Linked DNA regions of Lonchura striata. The protein of the gene in region 2 purifies or fractionates together with the protein of the main gene of each other region. This does not show direct contact. Links are inferred from orthologs where the notes say so. Each region holds a gene or a part of one and is shown on either strand. Other genes may lie near its edges.

Region 1 (7,167 bases), on a different chromosome or scaffold from region 2:
TTTGATCCCTTTAAGAGCGTAGCCCATGGGAAAGGGTCTGCCCTTGTCCTCCCTGGAGCAAGAACACTCACCACATGGCTGAGGGTCATGACTCGGAGCAAGGTCTCACAGCAGGTCTTCACCACAGCTGCAGGGAAGCAGGGCAGCACATCCCGCAACAGGGCAAGGACATGCAGGGTGGTGGTGGCCTCCTTGGCACCTACAAGAGCAGAGCAACCTCTGAGCCTGTGGGACACTACAGCAAAGCCCCCGTGACAGCAGTGGGGCTGACCCACAGAACTAGGGTGAACACTCCCCTAACTTCTGGGAAAGCACCAGAAGGGCTGAGGAGGCTTCAAAACACCAGAAGTGCCCCAAAGATATCTCATTCCCTCCCCAGCAATCCAGTGTGCTGCAATCTCCCCTCTTCCCTCTAAGTCCTTACTCTCCCACAGTGGCAGAATTCCCCACATGCAGCTACAGACCCCATGCTCCAGTGCCCCACACCTCCAGCTTTTTCAATCTCCTGCACACAGAACTTGGCGGTGGAGGGTGCTGCAGGGTGATGCTCAGGGGCTGCATCACCAAACATGAACTCGCTGCCCCTCAGGACAGAGCACACGCCATACTGCGCTGCTTTCCGCACCTGGGGGAAAAGAACCCAGCTGAGTAGAAACTACAGACCCAGGCGTACAGAAACAAACCCCCAAAGCAGTACCATCTCCTGCCAGAAGCACTGGGCTCTCACCTTGGGCTTGGTATGAACACAAAAGCTCAACAAGCCATGATAGACCTGCAGGGTGACAGGGTAGCTCCAGGCTGCCAAATCTTGCTTCCGTAGCAGTGTGGCCAGGCAAGAGAGGACCTATGACAGGGGAGCAGCAGGGGCATTAGCATCACCCCACAGAGACATCTTCCTTTCCTGCAAGGGCCGCAGGCCAAGCACCCAGCACCACCCTACAGCAGCAGCCTTGACCCCAGCACTCAGCAGACCCCAAGCAGAGCTGACATGGCTGGCTGCCTCTTGGCTACTCACCCATCGCAGGGCAGACGTGGAGCTGCTGCAGGCTTGTGAGGACACAATACTCATGAAGGCTTTTGAGGCATCTGAGAACTTCTTAATAAGAACTGGGCTCGGGACCCTGCCAGAAGGGGACATATCAGTAGGATGAGGAGCAGACAGCTAGTAGCCGTCACAAAGGGGACTGCATCACCAGCTCACCCCAGCTGGATTTCTTTCCCAGCATGGGAAGGTAGGACAGCACCAATCCCTTTTCCATGCTCTCTCTGCTTCTCTGCAAAGTACTCACCGCTTCAGGACAAGGTTAAGCAGGTAGGCAACAGCAGACAGTGATTCAGGGGACTCCACTGCCTCCAGCGTGGTCATCTGAGAACAGAAGGTGGCTAAGCAATGGGGTGGAGGGGGTCACACCACACCAGCCCTTCCCCAACCCCTGGGGAGGGGGAAAAGAAACCAGGAGCAGCCCAACAGCATCTCTGCTGAACAAAGCCACTTGGGCTACAAGCACAGCACCTTTCTCTATCCCTCCTCAGAGCCCACCCATGCTGCCAGCAGCAGCTCCCCCCACGCCTCTTCCACATAACCAGCACTCACCAGCGCAGCAAAGTATTCTGTCTCACTCTCCTTGCCCCCTCGGGAGCGGATCACCTCTGTCACAGCTGCCAGCACGGCACAGATCTGTGAACAGCCAGCAAAACAGCTCAGCATCTTTTAGCCTCGCAGCCAGGGGCCATCCCCACCAGATCCCCCCCTTCCCCAGCCCTGCTCCTGTCCGTACCTCTTTGTGAGCAGCAGAGTTGGATTCCCAGAAGCGCTGCACCTTGCTGAAGGTGATGTTAGTGCAGTCGCTCAGCCCACTCAGAAAGGTGCCAGAGGACTTCTCTGTGGCAGCCTCTTCAGCACTGTCCTCCTCCATACGGAGCTGAGCACTGTCACTCGCCCGCTCCGGACGCAAGGACCCCGACTGCAGCTCATTGTGCAGCTTCACTGCATCCACCGTCAAGTTACTTTTCTCTCCTGGGGTGAGAGATGTGTCAGAACTGTGAAGTCACATTGCTCCACCATTCACCCCGAAATTGCCATATTCCCCTCCCTGCCAGACTGGCGTGGCCGGAGCTCATATCCAGCATGTGGAATACAGGTGCTGCTTTGCCCCAAAGGGCAAAAGCACATTAATAACTGTAAAGACCTCCTCATTCCTGTACAAAAAAACAGAGCACAGTCCAGTCATCTCTGATGGAAGACAGCACCATGCTCACACAAATGTCTGCCGGTGTGCCAAGGCTTTAACACTGAGGTGCTTCTTGTACTCAGCCCTATTTATCTCCTTCCACCTGAAGCCCTAGCAACCAGACAGCCAGGACAGATGCTGTATATTCCTCTGAGTCCCAGACATCAGCCTGCAGCCAACATCTGCATGAGAAAGATTTCCTTGGCCAAGAGCAGCCGGTGTTCTCACAGTGCCTGGCACACTTTGGTTTCCCTCTCCCATCATAAGGCCGGCTAAATGTTAGTTTGTCACGCTCCTCACCACACCAGACACCACAGCAGCACTCAGAAGTATGGCCATGGGTTTTGGGGGACTCGCAGGGCGACAGGAACTGCAGCATGCAGCGGCTCATTCCGCTTCTGAGGCCTGGTATCACTACGAGGTTAACTCCTTACGCCGTGGCCTCGGTCAGCGGCTCCGCTCTCACCGCTGCCCCAGCCGCAGCTCTCGGAGGCTCTCGCCCCACAGCCCTCGGCGCCTCTGCGCCCCTCCGGGAAGCGCTGGGCACAGGACAGGAGCTGCTCGCCCTGGCGCCCTACCGCCCCGCCCGCCCCTGCCCTTACCCGCCGGCCGGCTGCAGAAGCGGCTGCGGGCAGCCAGACGATGCTGGCGGGTCTCGGGGTTGGAGTCGCTGCTGTGGCCCTTCCGCCAACGCTTCAGCTTGGCCGCGGCTCCCGAGCGGAGCCTCCCGCTCCGCGCCATGCTGGGCCCGGCTCCACGTGCGGCCGCGCCCAGCGCCCCCTTTCCGCTTCCGGCGCCGGCCGCCATCTTCAGTGAGGGCAGCCGTCAGGGAAGGCCGAGGGGGCGAGAAGCGGTGTCGGGGAAGCTTAGCGGGGTCGTGCCCAATCGGGGCAGAGATGGGAGACCCGAAGGGCCCCGGGGCAGCCACCAGACATCCCCATGCCCAAGCCGCGGCCCTGTGAAACTCTTCAGACCAAGCCCGCAGCCCGGGGCGAGGAGTCACGTCTTACGTATTACTGCGCACCGTGACGTCACGGTGACGCCACGCCCTGAAGGTCGCACCGCCCTTCGCGGCCGCGCCATGTGGTACGTGCGCCTCCGCCTGGCGTGCGCTCGGCGCATGCGCTTGCCCCGGCGGCGGCGCGCGGGGCGGGGCGGGGCCGAGCGGGGGCGTCAGTCGCGCGCGGCAGCGGCGCGAGCAGCAGCCCCGGTCCCGCCGCGCGCCCGGTCCCGCCGCCCGCCATGGCCGCCGCCTACCGGCTCGTCCTCGTCCGCCACGGCGAGAGCGCCTGGAACCTCGAGAACCGCTTCAGCGGGTGGTACGACGCCGACCTCAGCCCCGCCGGGCAGCAGGAGGCACGGCGCGGTGGCGAGGCCCTCCGAGGTACCGGTGGACGAGGGAGGGGATGCCGGCCAAGAGCGGGGTCGCGGGGGACGGGGGGAAAGGACGCGGCCTAGTGCGGCCCCGTCGAGCCTAACGGGGGCTGGTTCGGGGCTCTCCAGTGCCGGGCGAGGGCCTCCAGTGCCGGGTCGGGGGTTCGGTGCCGCTGGGAGAGCCGTAGGTACCGCAGTATGTTGGTTTTTCGGTACCGGTCGCGTCCTGGCCGCTACCGTTTTCTGTAAAGATGAGGACGCGACCGGTACCGGTGCGGTGAGGCCGCCGCCCTTGCCCTTTCACCGGTTGCATAAGGCCAGGCACTCACCTTCCCGGGCTTCCCCCGCCTCCCCCTCTCCTCGTATATCCTAGATGCCGGCTATGAGTTCGACATCTGCTTCACCTCGGTACAAAAACGGGCGATCCGTACTCTCTGGACCGTCCTGGATGCCATTGATCAGATGTGGCTACCCGTTATCCGGACCTGGCGTTTAAATGAGAGGCACTATGGAGCTCTCACGGGTTTGAACAAGGCTGAGACAGCAGCGAAGCATGGTGAGGCGCAGGTCAAGATCTGGAGGCGCTCCTATGACATCCCTCCACCTCCCATGCAGTCTGACCACCCCTTCTACAGCACTATTGCAAAGGTAAGACCTATTGCTCTTTGATTGCCTTGTTAAGAGTCTCTTAAAAGTCACTTGCACTAAAGCCTGGCTTCCTGTATAAGGTCTTCTGTGTCTCTGTTGCGTTATCTGAGGCTGTTGTGCATGGTGCTGGTAGACTTTAGGCTGAGTTTATCTTGCTTCTTCCGTGTGGAGTTGAACCCCTGGGCATCACACAGCAGAGTCAAAGTGGAGGGCACAGTATCTCTGTTAATCATTAGTGCCATTCATGGATGTGTGATCTGGTTTCTTTGCCCAGAGAGGCAATGTATGACTTTTCCCAGGTGGGCTCATGGCCCTGACTGTGGCCCATTGCAGCCCCAGACTGCAAAGACACTTCTTTGCTTCCAAGCCTGGCTTTGCTTATGTGTAGTGGGGCCTCAGGTAGAGAATCTGGGGGAGAGACAAAATCTTGCTACCATCTTCCCACACTGGATGGGGGGCACTGGGCTGCTGTGTGAGCATGGTCGTTCTCCCAGGATCGCCGCTACGCCGACCTGACAGAGGACCAGCTGCCAACATGCGAGAGCTTGAAGGACACCATTGCCCGGGCTCTGCCTTTTTGGAATGAGGAAATCGTCCCACAGATCAAAGAGGGCAAACGAGTCCTTATTGCTGCTCATGGCAATAGCCTGCGTGGGATTGTCAAGCACCTGGAAGGTAGGTCACCCCTGCATCCCAGGGACCCCTCCTTCCCCATCTGGCACTGTGGGAAGGTCTGAGAGTGACAGCACTGCTGTGTTTGCAGGCATGTCAGAAGAGGCCATCATGGAGCTGAACCTGCCCACTGGCATCCCCATTGTCTACGAACTGGACAAGAACCTGAAACCTGTCAAGCCCATGCAGTTCCTGGGGGATGAGGAGACCGTGCGCAAGGCCATGGAGGCCGTTGCTGCTCAGGGCAAGGCCAAGAAGTGAGGGCAGGCAGCAGACCAGCACGTAGTAGAGCCCCCTGCCATCCCCCACCCCTCTGTTCACACCCCCACAGTTGTAGGAACTCGGAGCTGTGAAGCTGGAGGCACTCCCCTCGGTTAGGCCCGTTCCCTCAGACTAGGCTCCCCTCTGCAGATAGCCTGGGGGCTCCGGGGTGAGGGCTGGACATGGAGGTCTGGTGTGAAAGGGAGCCCTGTCTCTACCAGGCAGCGACCCCACACCTGTCCATGCTGTGATCCCAACCCTCAGACCCTGTCTGCAGAGGGACAGGCCAAGCAATCCCTTACCATGCCAGGCTCTTCCTTTGCTTTGCATCCCTGGCAGCTCTCGTCACCTGTTTACTGTAGTTTTGTCACTTGATTTAGTCCTCCTGGGAGCAGTGTGGCAAGTGCAGTGCCAGCAGTGACCAATGTGGGTACCCCCTCCCCTTGTGGGTGTGTGGCACAGTGACTGGGATGCCGCTGGAAGGGTTGTGTTTTGGTGCACGTGGTGCAGCACCCCAGGGTAGTACTCATGACTCTGGGCCCAGCTCTGCCAGCCCCTGCTTTAACTATACTGCCTTCAGACAAGGGTGAGGGAGGGAGCCTGTTGCCTGGAGGTCTGTGTCTGCAACATGCTTCCCCCAGCTGCTGCCCATCCTCGTCCTGCTGGTGAAGCAGGTGCTGTTGTGTCCCATCCCTCACATGTGTACGTGGCCTGTCACTGTGGCCTCCCCCCTGCCGGTGTCGTGAGCCTGGGCTTGCACAGGGTCAGTGTAACTGTCCAACCATAGCAGCCGTCTTGTTCCAGTTCAATAAAGGAGTAATGCGCAATAAGGAAGTGTCCTTGTGTCTCTGGGCCATGTGGGCTCCCTGCTGCCAGCACGTGCACAAGGCAGCAATCCCTGCTGGGCACAGACAGGAGGGTGCAGAAGCTGTGCCAGGCTCAAGGAGCAAAGCTCAGCTCTGCAATCTCTGCCCAAGAGGGTGACACCCTGCCATGCTCTGGTTTTTGGTCTGTGTGTACCACACCCTTGTTCCATAGGGCAGGGCAAGCATGTGTGGCCTGAGGAGATGAGATACGTCCCCAGGCTATTCTCAGCCACGGCCCACACTGGTTAGTGGTGAGCTGAGACAGGCTCTGCACCAGGCTTGACTCCTGTGTGGGGAAACCAACCTGGTGAGGAGTGCCCAACACAGCTGCAGCCTGGGGCTCTGTGCTGTTGGCGTCACTGCAGCAAAGTCACTCCATCACTCCCCTTCACCAGCAGTGAAAATGTGCTTCCTTCTGCCCCTGCTGCTGTGGAAGCTGTTCCCTCACCTGCTGTGCTGTGGGAGCCAGACCAGAGTGCATGGATAGCCCTGGCTCCCCCACTTACTGTAAAGAACGAAGCAGGAAGCTCTCAAAAAAAATTTATTATCCACAAGTAGCAAACCCATCCTGCCAGTGGAGGCCTGGCTGAACCTGTGAAGGAGGTGGGAGCCCAGGGGCTGCTCTGGCTCCACAGCCACAGTGCTGCAGCCCCCTGCCCCCCTCAGCTGTTACGTCTGCAGGAACTGGGGCTGCACCCGGGCCACCTTACGGAACTCCTTGGTGTGTGTCCGTGGGCACTGCATCTCACACCAGCTGATGGGCACCATCTGCACCCCTGGGCACGTAATGTCAGACTTGCTCTTTCCCAAAGTTGCATTCCTCCATATGGAGAGGGAGGCAGCTGCATCAGCTGCCCCCAAGGCAGGAATGAGGCAGAACTGTTTCAGCCCAGTCCCTGTCTCTGTCCCTGTCCTGCCCTTACCTGCCTCGCTGCGTGCCACCACCACACCCAGCTCGTTCTCTGCTGTGCTCAGCAGGTAGTTGGACTGTGCATCCCCCAGGGAGATCTGGTTGGACAGGGGTTAAGGGACACACTTCCACAAGGGAGCTTGAGCCAACACGGTGTCCCTGAGGAGGAAGGATACAACTTTGGCCAGGACGATGTCACTGGGGC
Region 2 (7,710 bases):
CCCCTTCCATGGGATCAGGAACCACTTCTGACTGTAGAGACTCCTGCTTGCTTGGATCTGCCTTCATCAGCACCTTGACATCTTCCTCCATCTCAACAGCACCATTTCCAGAGTCATCCTGAAGGGGAAGAGCAGAGTTCCTAGATCTGAACACACCTAACTGAAGCTTGCAGTCAGTCTCAGGTGAAACTCCCTTCATGATGTCATGACATAACCCTCATTACACACTGCAGGCACAAAACCTCAGCCCAGCAGCAGAACACAGATAGAACTCTCCTTCCCCTCTCCTCACCCACATACCCCCAGCTGTATTTTCCCCAATGAAAGTTTAGAAAACTTATGTTCTAAGAGGACTGGCAAAGCTCTCACCCCACACACCTGAACCTCCATGTCCTGGCTCCTCTTCTGTCCTTTAACCACCCGTGGGTTCAAAGAGAGCGGGTCAGGGGGAGCATCCACCTGGCTCAGCTGGAAGTCCCCATGCCCCACGATGTGCACCAGGCTGTTCACGTTGAGGGTCTGTCCCCGGACAAAGCCGGACACCTTCAGGGTGCCCAGCAGGTCGCTGTCCTGGCTGGGCACAAACTCAGCAGCACGGGCCAGCAGGTGAGCGCGGCGGTCCCGGAAAGCCAAGTGCCTCTGCTTCTGGGAGCTGAGGTGCCTCAGGAGCAGCGAGGATTCCTGCTCCGTGTTCAGTGGGAACAGCTTGGCCTCGGGGAAACGCTTCTCAATGGATTTGGAGAGTTTCTTCCTGGCATCTATCCTCTTCTTAGGGGGCAGGTCAGTGCCTCCCGGGACAGCCAGAGCTGCCGAGCAAAGAACAGAGCTCCCATCAGATCCTAAAACTCCTGATGTTCTTTTTACCAAACACAGGCAAACACTTGGATGTCAGCAGCCCAAATGGCCAGATTTGCACCACAGGTACAAAGGGAGTTTGGTTTTAGTGGTGCCCAGCAGAACAAAGAGCAACAGCCATAAACTGAAATGAAAGAACTTCTACCTCAATATAAGAAAAAAGTTCTTTTCACTGAAGGTGACAGAGCCCTGAAATTTAATTACTGTGACACTCATTCCCCATATTAAGCACCCCCAGAAACCCAAAACATTTCTCACCATAACTGGGGAGCCCCTGTGCAAAGAGGCAGGAGAGGCAGTGTTCCCCTGCACTGTCCCATCCATCCACAGGATCCAGGATGAACAGCAGGGAATCAGCAACCTTGGCAAGGTCTAAAACCGCGTGAAGATCCCCTGCACCCAAAACACCTCCATTAGTGGGGCTGCCAGAGGCACCAGAACCAAGAACCCAAGCAACAGCAGTGCCTCCTCACCTGCCTGGGCTGTGACAAAGTGCCAGCGCTGCTTGAGCTGTGGGCAGAGCAGAGCAAAGCCACCAGCTCCGCCCTCATCTGCACGGACAATGGCCGAGCTGAGGCTCTGCAGCAGCCGCAGCGAGTCCTGCACTGCAGCCCGGCTGTGCAGCAGCACCACAACCACCAGGTGCGGGGGGCCATCCCTGCTGCCAAGGCTGCGCTTCTCTGCCAGCACCTGCGGGTGAGGGCAGCGTGTGAATGCCCCAGGGCAGAGTGTGAATGCCCCGGGGCAGGGTGTGGATGCCCGAGGGCAGAGTGTGGATGCCCAAAGGCAGGGTGTGGATGCCCAAAGGCAGGGTGTGGATGCCACAGGGCAGGGTGTGGATGCCCCAGGGCAGAGTGTGGATGCCCCAGGGCACCGTATGGATGCCCCAGGGCAGAGTGTGAATGCCCCAGGGCAGGGTGTGTCGATGCCCCAGGGCAGCGTGTGAATGCCCCAGGGCAGGGTGTGGATGCCCAAAGGCAAGGTGTGGATGCCCCAGGGCATAGTGTGATTGCCCTGGGGCAGAGTGTGAATGCCCCAGGGCAGGGTGTGGATGCCCCGAGGGCAGAGTGTGGATGCCCCAGGGCAGAGTGTGGATGCCCAAAGGCAGGGTGTGGATGCCCAAAGGCAGGGTGTGGATGCCCCAGGGCAGAGTGTGAATGCCCCAGGGCAGCGTGTGGATGCCCCAGGGCAGAGTGTGGATGCCCAAAGGCAGAGTGTGGATGCCCAAAGGCAGGGTGTGGATGCCCAAAGGCAGGGTGTGGATGCCACAGGGCAGGGTGTGGATGCCCCTAGAGCAGAGTGTGGATGCCCCAGGGCAGAGTGTGGATGCCCAAAGGCAGGGTGTGGATGCCCCAGGGCAGAGTGTGAATGCCCCAGGGCAGGGTGTGGATGCCCAAAGGCAGAGTGTGGATGCCCCGAGGGCAGAGTGTGGATGCCTGAGGGCAGAGTGTGAATGCCCCAGGGCAGAGTGTGGATGCCCAAAGGCAGGGTGTGGATGCCCCGGGGCAGGGTGTGTATGCCCCGGGGCAGAGTGTGGATGCCCAAAGGCAGGGTGTGGATGCCCCGGGGCAGGGTGTGTATGCCCCGGGGCAGAGTGTGGATGCCAGCCCGAACGCGCCTCTTCTCCCGCTCCCGACCCAGGCCAGACTTCCCCACACCGCACCCGGTCCGGTAACCCTCCGCTTGGCCCGAACCGGGCCTGGCACCCGCTCGTTTCCTCCGCAAAAACCCAAACCGGTTGGACTGCACGGCCCGCACGCAGAGCCCCACGGCCGCATTCAAGCCCCCTCCGGCACAGACTCGAGCCGACCCGTTTCCCGCTGCCCCGCCACGACCGGCCCGGTTCCGCCGGTGCCTCACCGCCTCCTTGCGCTGCCGGCGGAGCTGCAGCGCCTGATGCCGCCGGTCCACCCTGCTCAGGTCGCGGAGCCGCCGGCGAGGCTGGGCCTTGACGGGGACGCGGCCTGCGGGAAGAGAACGGTAAGGCCGGCGGAGGGGCGGCGGGGAGCCGGCGGGGAGCCCGTGCCGTCTCACCTCCAGCGCGGCGCTGCGAGGAGCCGCTGTGCTTGCCGCCCTTGTGCGCCTTGTTCTGCTGCTTGAGCGGCCCGGGCCGGTGCGCGCCCGCCGCCGCCATCACCATGCTGCCGCCTCGCCGCCGTGCGCCACTTCCGCAGCGACGGGAACCGCGGGATCGCACGTGGGCGGCGAGAGGGAGGGACCGGGAAAGGAACCCCGGGAAAGGAGCCCGGGAGCGGGACCGAGCCCCGGCAAAGGAGCCGGGGACCGGGACCGAGCCCCGGGGCCGGGACCGAGCCCCGGGAAAGAAGCCCGGGACGGGGACTGGGGCAGGGACCGAGCCCCGGGAAAGGAGCCCGGGAGCGGGACCGAGCCCCGGCAAAGGAGCCTGGGACCGGGACCGGGACCGAGCCCCGTCAAAGGAGACCGGGATGGGGACCGGGACCGAGACCCGGGAAAGGAGCCCGGGAACGGGACCGGGACGGAACCCGGGAAAGGGCAAGGGCGAGCCCCGGGACCGAGACCGAGTCCTGGCAAAGGAGACCGGGACCGAGCCCCGTGAAAGGAGCCCGGGAACGGGACCGGGACCGAGCCCCGTGAAAGGAGCCCCGGACCGGGACCGAGCCCCGTGAAAGGAGCCCGGGAACGGGACCGGGACCGAGCCCCGTGAAAGGAGCCCGGAACGGGGACCGGGACCGAGCCCGGGAAAGGAGCCCGGGAACGGGACCGAGCCCCGGGAAAGGAGCCCGGGAACGGGACCGAGCCCCGGGAAAGGAGCCCGAGACGGGGACTGGGACCGACCCCTGGGAAAGGAGCCCCGGGACAGGGACCGGGACCGAGCCCCGGGGAAAGGGCAGGGGCGAGCCCCGAGGCGCGGAGGGTAGAGCCCCGGGGTTGGTGGCCGTAGTGCCGCTGGGCAATGAGAGGCGGGAGGCAGAGCCGTTCGTTCAGCGCTTTATTGGTTGGTTCTTTGTACAGGTATTTACACGGAGAGGGAGACAGGGCTCGGCCGCGCTCCGGGAAGGGCCGGGGGGATGAAGGAGTTGAGGAAAGGCCCTGCCGAGCGTCTGGCATCGCGCCCAGGCGCCAGGACAGGACAAAGCCTGCCGGAGTGGAAACATTCCTCCTGTCCCCGGTCTGTTACCGCGGTGACCTCGGTCTTGCTAATCATTATCCAGGCAGGAATGTCCGTTCCTAGGCAGAGGCCTCAGCCCCCATGGGACATCACCCCAAACCCCAGCAGAGCCTGCCCCGGGATCACTCCATCGCTAGGTTAAACATTCACAGGGGTGTTGCAATCGCCAGGAAAGCTGAAGCAAGCCGAGGGAGAGCCAGGGCAGCTGCATGGGAAGGGAAAAGCAGGTTCCTACAGGTTCCTGCTGCCTCTGAACTTGAGGCATCTTCCCACCTCCTCCTCCTGAGAGGAAATCAGCATGACAGCAGCAATGTCAGGTTGTCAGCTGTGAATGGTCTTTAGGGATCCTTTCCTACCCCTAAAAGCAGACTGGCTGTTTAAACTTTTGAAACTCTAAATATGAGCACTACCTGAGAGGAAGGAAGACACAAAACTGAAGAGTACTGGTGACAGATGAACACTGCAGTGATTGAGTCTCTCTAAACAGGAATCCAGTGGCTGTGGCACAGCATGAGAGTCTCCCCCAAAGGCTGTTTGCCCACAGCACTGCCTCAGCTCTGCCTTGCAGAGCTAAAGGCAAACAGCCTTAGAGGGGGTTCCAGGGAAGAGGGAAAAGCTAGGATACTTCTAAATCAAGGAAAACATCCCGTGAGTTAGTTATACCTTGTCATTTAAGCAAGAGTAGGGAAAGGAGGAAGGCTGGAAACTCTTCCTAGGGTTATCACAAAGCCAAGCACTTCTGCCTTCCAGTCATGCAGAAGTCTGGAAACCCAGAGGCATCAAGAAGGGTTCCACACCATGGGGGCTGATGAGCTTTGCAATTCTCAGTGCTGCTCAGGCTTTCCCACACATCCATACATTGTCATCTTACAGGGATTTCACTGACCTGCACATTCCTGCAGGGCCCTCCAGACACATGCCACCAAAAAATCACAACCTGCCAAGCAGAGCAAGCAGGAACAGAAAGCCAAGCACTGCCTCACAGCATTCCAAGTGAAAACAAGCATCCCTGTTACAGCAGTAACTACCAAGGAAATATTGCTGCAGTCAGTGTGAGCAGGGAATAACCTCCAGCAGCTGAGATGCAAATCCCTGCAGCAAAGCAAGGCCCTGGCAGGGAGAGGGCTCCTCTCAGCTCTCCTGTACCATCACAATACAGAGCCTGGTGCTCTGCACACACAGGATGCTGTGACAGCACCATACATCACCCATGTTGTCCCCTCTGCACCAAAAAGAACAGGCTTTGTATCAGAGCACAAACCCAGACAAGCTGTGCCATGAGTGGAGCTCACAGGCTGCTCCAACTCTATCCGAATCCCAAAAAGCAGCTGCACTGCAGAAAAGCTGAGCTCACATTCCTGTTCCCTATAGAAGGAGCAGCTGCTTCTGAAGCAGCAAGAACTCTGGGCTGACTCCACACAGGGGGAGCAACAAGCTGGGACAGGCTGGATGCAAAGCCAGGGCCTTGGCTTAGGAAGGAAGACTGGTTGCAACTGGAAGGGCCAGTTTATTAGAGAAACCTCACATTGCAGAGAAGTCACAACACATTGGAAAGGTCCAGGCCTGCTGAGGAGGGCCAGTCTTCTGCAGCAGCATAGATCTACATCCCCCAGCCCCAAAAACCCAGCAGGTGCCACAGAGGGAAGGGTTACCTGGAACACAGCTTATGTTTTACAAGCAGCCTGAGAGAAGGGCCAGTAGTAAAGTTCCAAAAAAAATCCTCCCCGGCAGAAAACAGTTACAACAAAAATGGTTTACAATGTTTAAAAGCTCCGTGTTCTTGGCTGCAGCATAAAGGGGAGGCAAAGGTCTACAACACACACAGGCCTCCGTGGCTCTGGGCACTCTGATCTACCAGTGAAGGCCAGAGGGAGGGGTCTTCTCATCTTTGTTGCTTTCCAGGGAAAAGGGTGGGATTCGGACATCAAAGTGGGAGCCATCAGGCCTCTCAAATCGAAAAGTGCCCCTGCAAAAATAATGGCAGAGGTCACACTGAGGCCAGGGACAAACACACCTAAGACACATCAGCAAAAGGGAAAGACCTGAGCTCTTCCACGTCCTGGGGGTCCATCTGCAAGGCTGGTCCAGCAGCAAGGACATGGGCTCAGCTGCAAACATGTGCTGCCAAGATAACTCATTTATGGAGGACTCCTGGGCAGTTTTACAGCACATCCCTAACATATCTCCTGCACAAAGCTGTGATGATTGCAGCCCATAGCAATCATCACATGCACCCAAGCATCCTCCATGCACCTGCAGTGGTGTTTACCCAACTCCCACTCCCCAGGAGACAGAGCCATCTGAGCTATTTTTACAGACTGGTTACATGTAAATTCAGATTTGTGTTTCTTGGCAGGAGCTCCACAGGTTGCCAATGACATTAAGAAGTCCCATCACAGATGTAATTTGGAATAGCTTCAGCTTTGCATTTCAGAACTGAGCCTGCCTGTCCTGGTACAACCATTTGTTTCCTGCTCTGAACTACAGAACACAACGTGGGCAAGAGGGTTGTTGAGATAAATTAACATGTTCTCAGGACAGAGAGGACACAACTGAACACCAGAAGTCAAGCTGAGCAGCTTCTGAGCTGCAGAACCTTTGTCTCTTTGTTGTCAGGATGTATGCAGAGAGGGAAAAACTACTAGACCATCTGGTTTTATTCCCCAGGGCATCCATTCAGGCAATTCAAAACACTTCACATGACAAACAAGGTACACCCTATATACAAAGAGCTGCTCTCCTGTTTTTCCCAACTCAAAGGCAACTTAACTTTGAAGATTTCCTTTAAAAAATGCAGAAGGACCTGTCATATGGAAGGCAAGAGTTTGCTGTGCAATCTTTGTCCACGCAAAGGTGACACAAATGTGCTAACCCAAAAGGCAAATAAAGACAAGCTGCTTTAATCCCAAAGCACAGGGAAAGAACAACTAAGCTGGGCACTTCTCTCCCAGCACTTACAGAAGAAGAAACTTAAACACCAGTTAGACTGGAGTCCTTACCTGGTCTAAACTAGGAAAACCCCTGCATGACCAATTCCTGACACAGATGTGCACAGAGATGGAGTTAAAGCCCAGCCCTCTCTCAAGAGACACCAGAGCACACATCCCTGCTGCTGAGGAATCACCAGTACAAGGCCTTGGCTCTTGCACCAAGGACAAAAGGAAGAATTGCTTAATGTCTCTAAATCCAGTCTACTACAGCAGGAGGATAAATTATCCTGGTGCAGAGAACCAAAAGATCATCTGATCACTAACTAGGATACAGCTAGAGAGAAGCTCATAAAATTTTAGCTACCAGCTATGCCCTGTCCAGTCCACTTCCACCCAGCTTTCAGCCACAACCTCAGGCTGCAATCTGCACCCCAGCTTACTGCTGGGGGGTCCTACACCCAAAACACTGCTGCAACAATAAGGGCTTCTTACCACATGTGACCACTGGATGCCTGCAGGGAGACGTGGCTGCTGTACTGAAATGCTGGCTGTTCTTTGGACAAAACTGGCTCCTGAGAAGACAAAAGACCACTGGGCATCAGCAATTCTACCACAGATAGGCATCAACAGGAAATTTATATAGCATGAGAAAAAAACCAAACAGGGACCTACACCCTAGCACTTCTGCCAATTACACAGCAAACAATTTGTCCACTGAGTAGCACCAGGATCCCATTATTATTCCACTTTTCCAACCACCAGTCATACTCTAAT

The links.
Region 1: the proteins of TSR1 (region 2) and RRP12 purify together in Homo sapiens (affinity purification with mass spectrometry; 3 studies listed by BioGRID and IntAct, counting the BioPlex papers as one, with this or other methods). This does not show direct contact. The link is inferred for Lonchura striata from reciprocal best matches to the Homo sapiens genes TSR1 and RRP12.

The regions. Positions count from the first base shown.
Region 1 is NC_134609.1:18,922,983-18,930,149, reverse strand, and holds the start of RRP12 (RRP12-like protein), read right to left. Parts: upstream 3,004-7,167; 5' UTR 2,973-3,003; coding exon 2,834-2,972; intron 2,018-2,833; coding exon 1,779-2,017; intron 1,679-1,778; coding exon 1,595-1,678; intron 1,367-1,594; coding exon 1,290-1,366; intron 1,122-1,289; coding exon 1,016-1,121; intron 845-1,015; coding exon 728-844; intron 626-727; coding exon 487-625; intron 200-486; coding exon 72-199; intron 1-71. Other genes in the region: PGAM1 (phosphoglycerate mutase 1), read left to right, coding at 3,474-3,615, 3,979-4,253, 4,748-4,928, 5,017-5,186; EXOSC1 (exosome complex component CSL4), read right to left, coding at 6,715-6,872, 6,976-7,060, 7,139-7,167.
Region 2 is NC_134622.1:7,226,518-7,234,227, forward strand, and holds the start of TSR1 (pre-rRNA-processing protein TSR1 homolog), read right to left. Parts: upstream 3,018-7,710; 5' UTR 2,996-3,017; coding exon 2,890-2,995; intron 2,820-2,889; coding exon 2,716-2,819; intron 1,546-2,715; coding exon 1,329-1,545; intron 1,249-1,328; coding exon 1,114-1,248; intron 807-1,113; coding exon 379-806; intron 119-378; coding exon 1-118. Other genes in the region: POLDIP2 (polymerase delta-interacting protein 2), read right to left, coding at 5,858-5,972, 7,429-7,508. UniProt on the Homo sapiens protein: Required during maturation of the 40S ribosomal subunit in the nucleolus.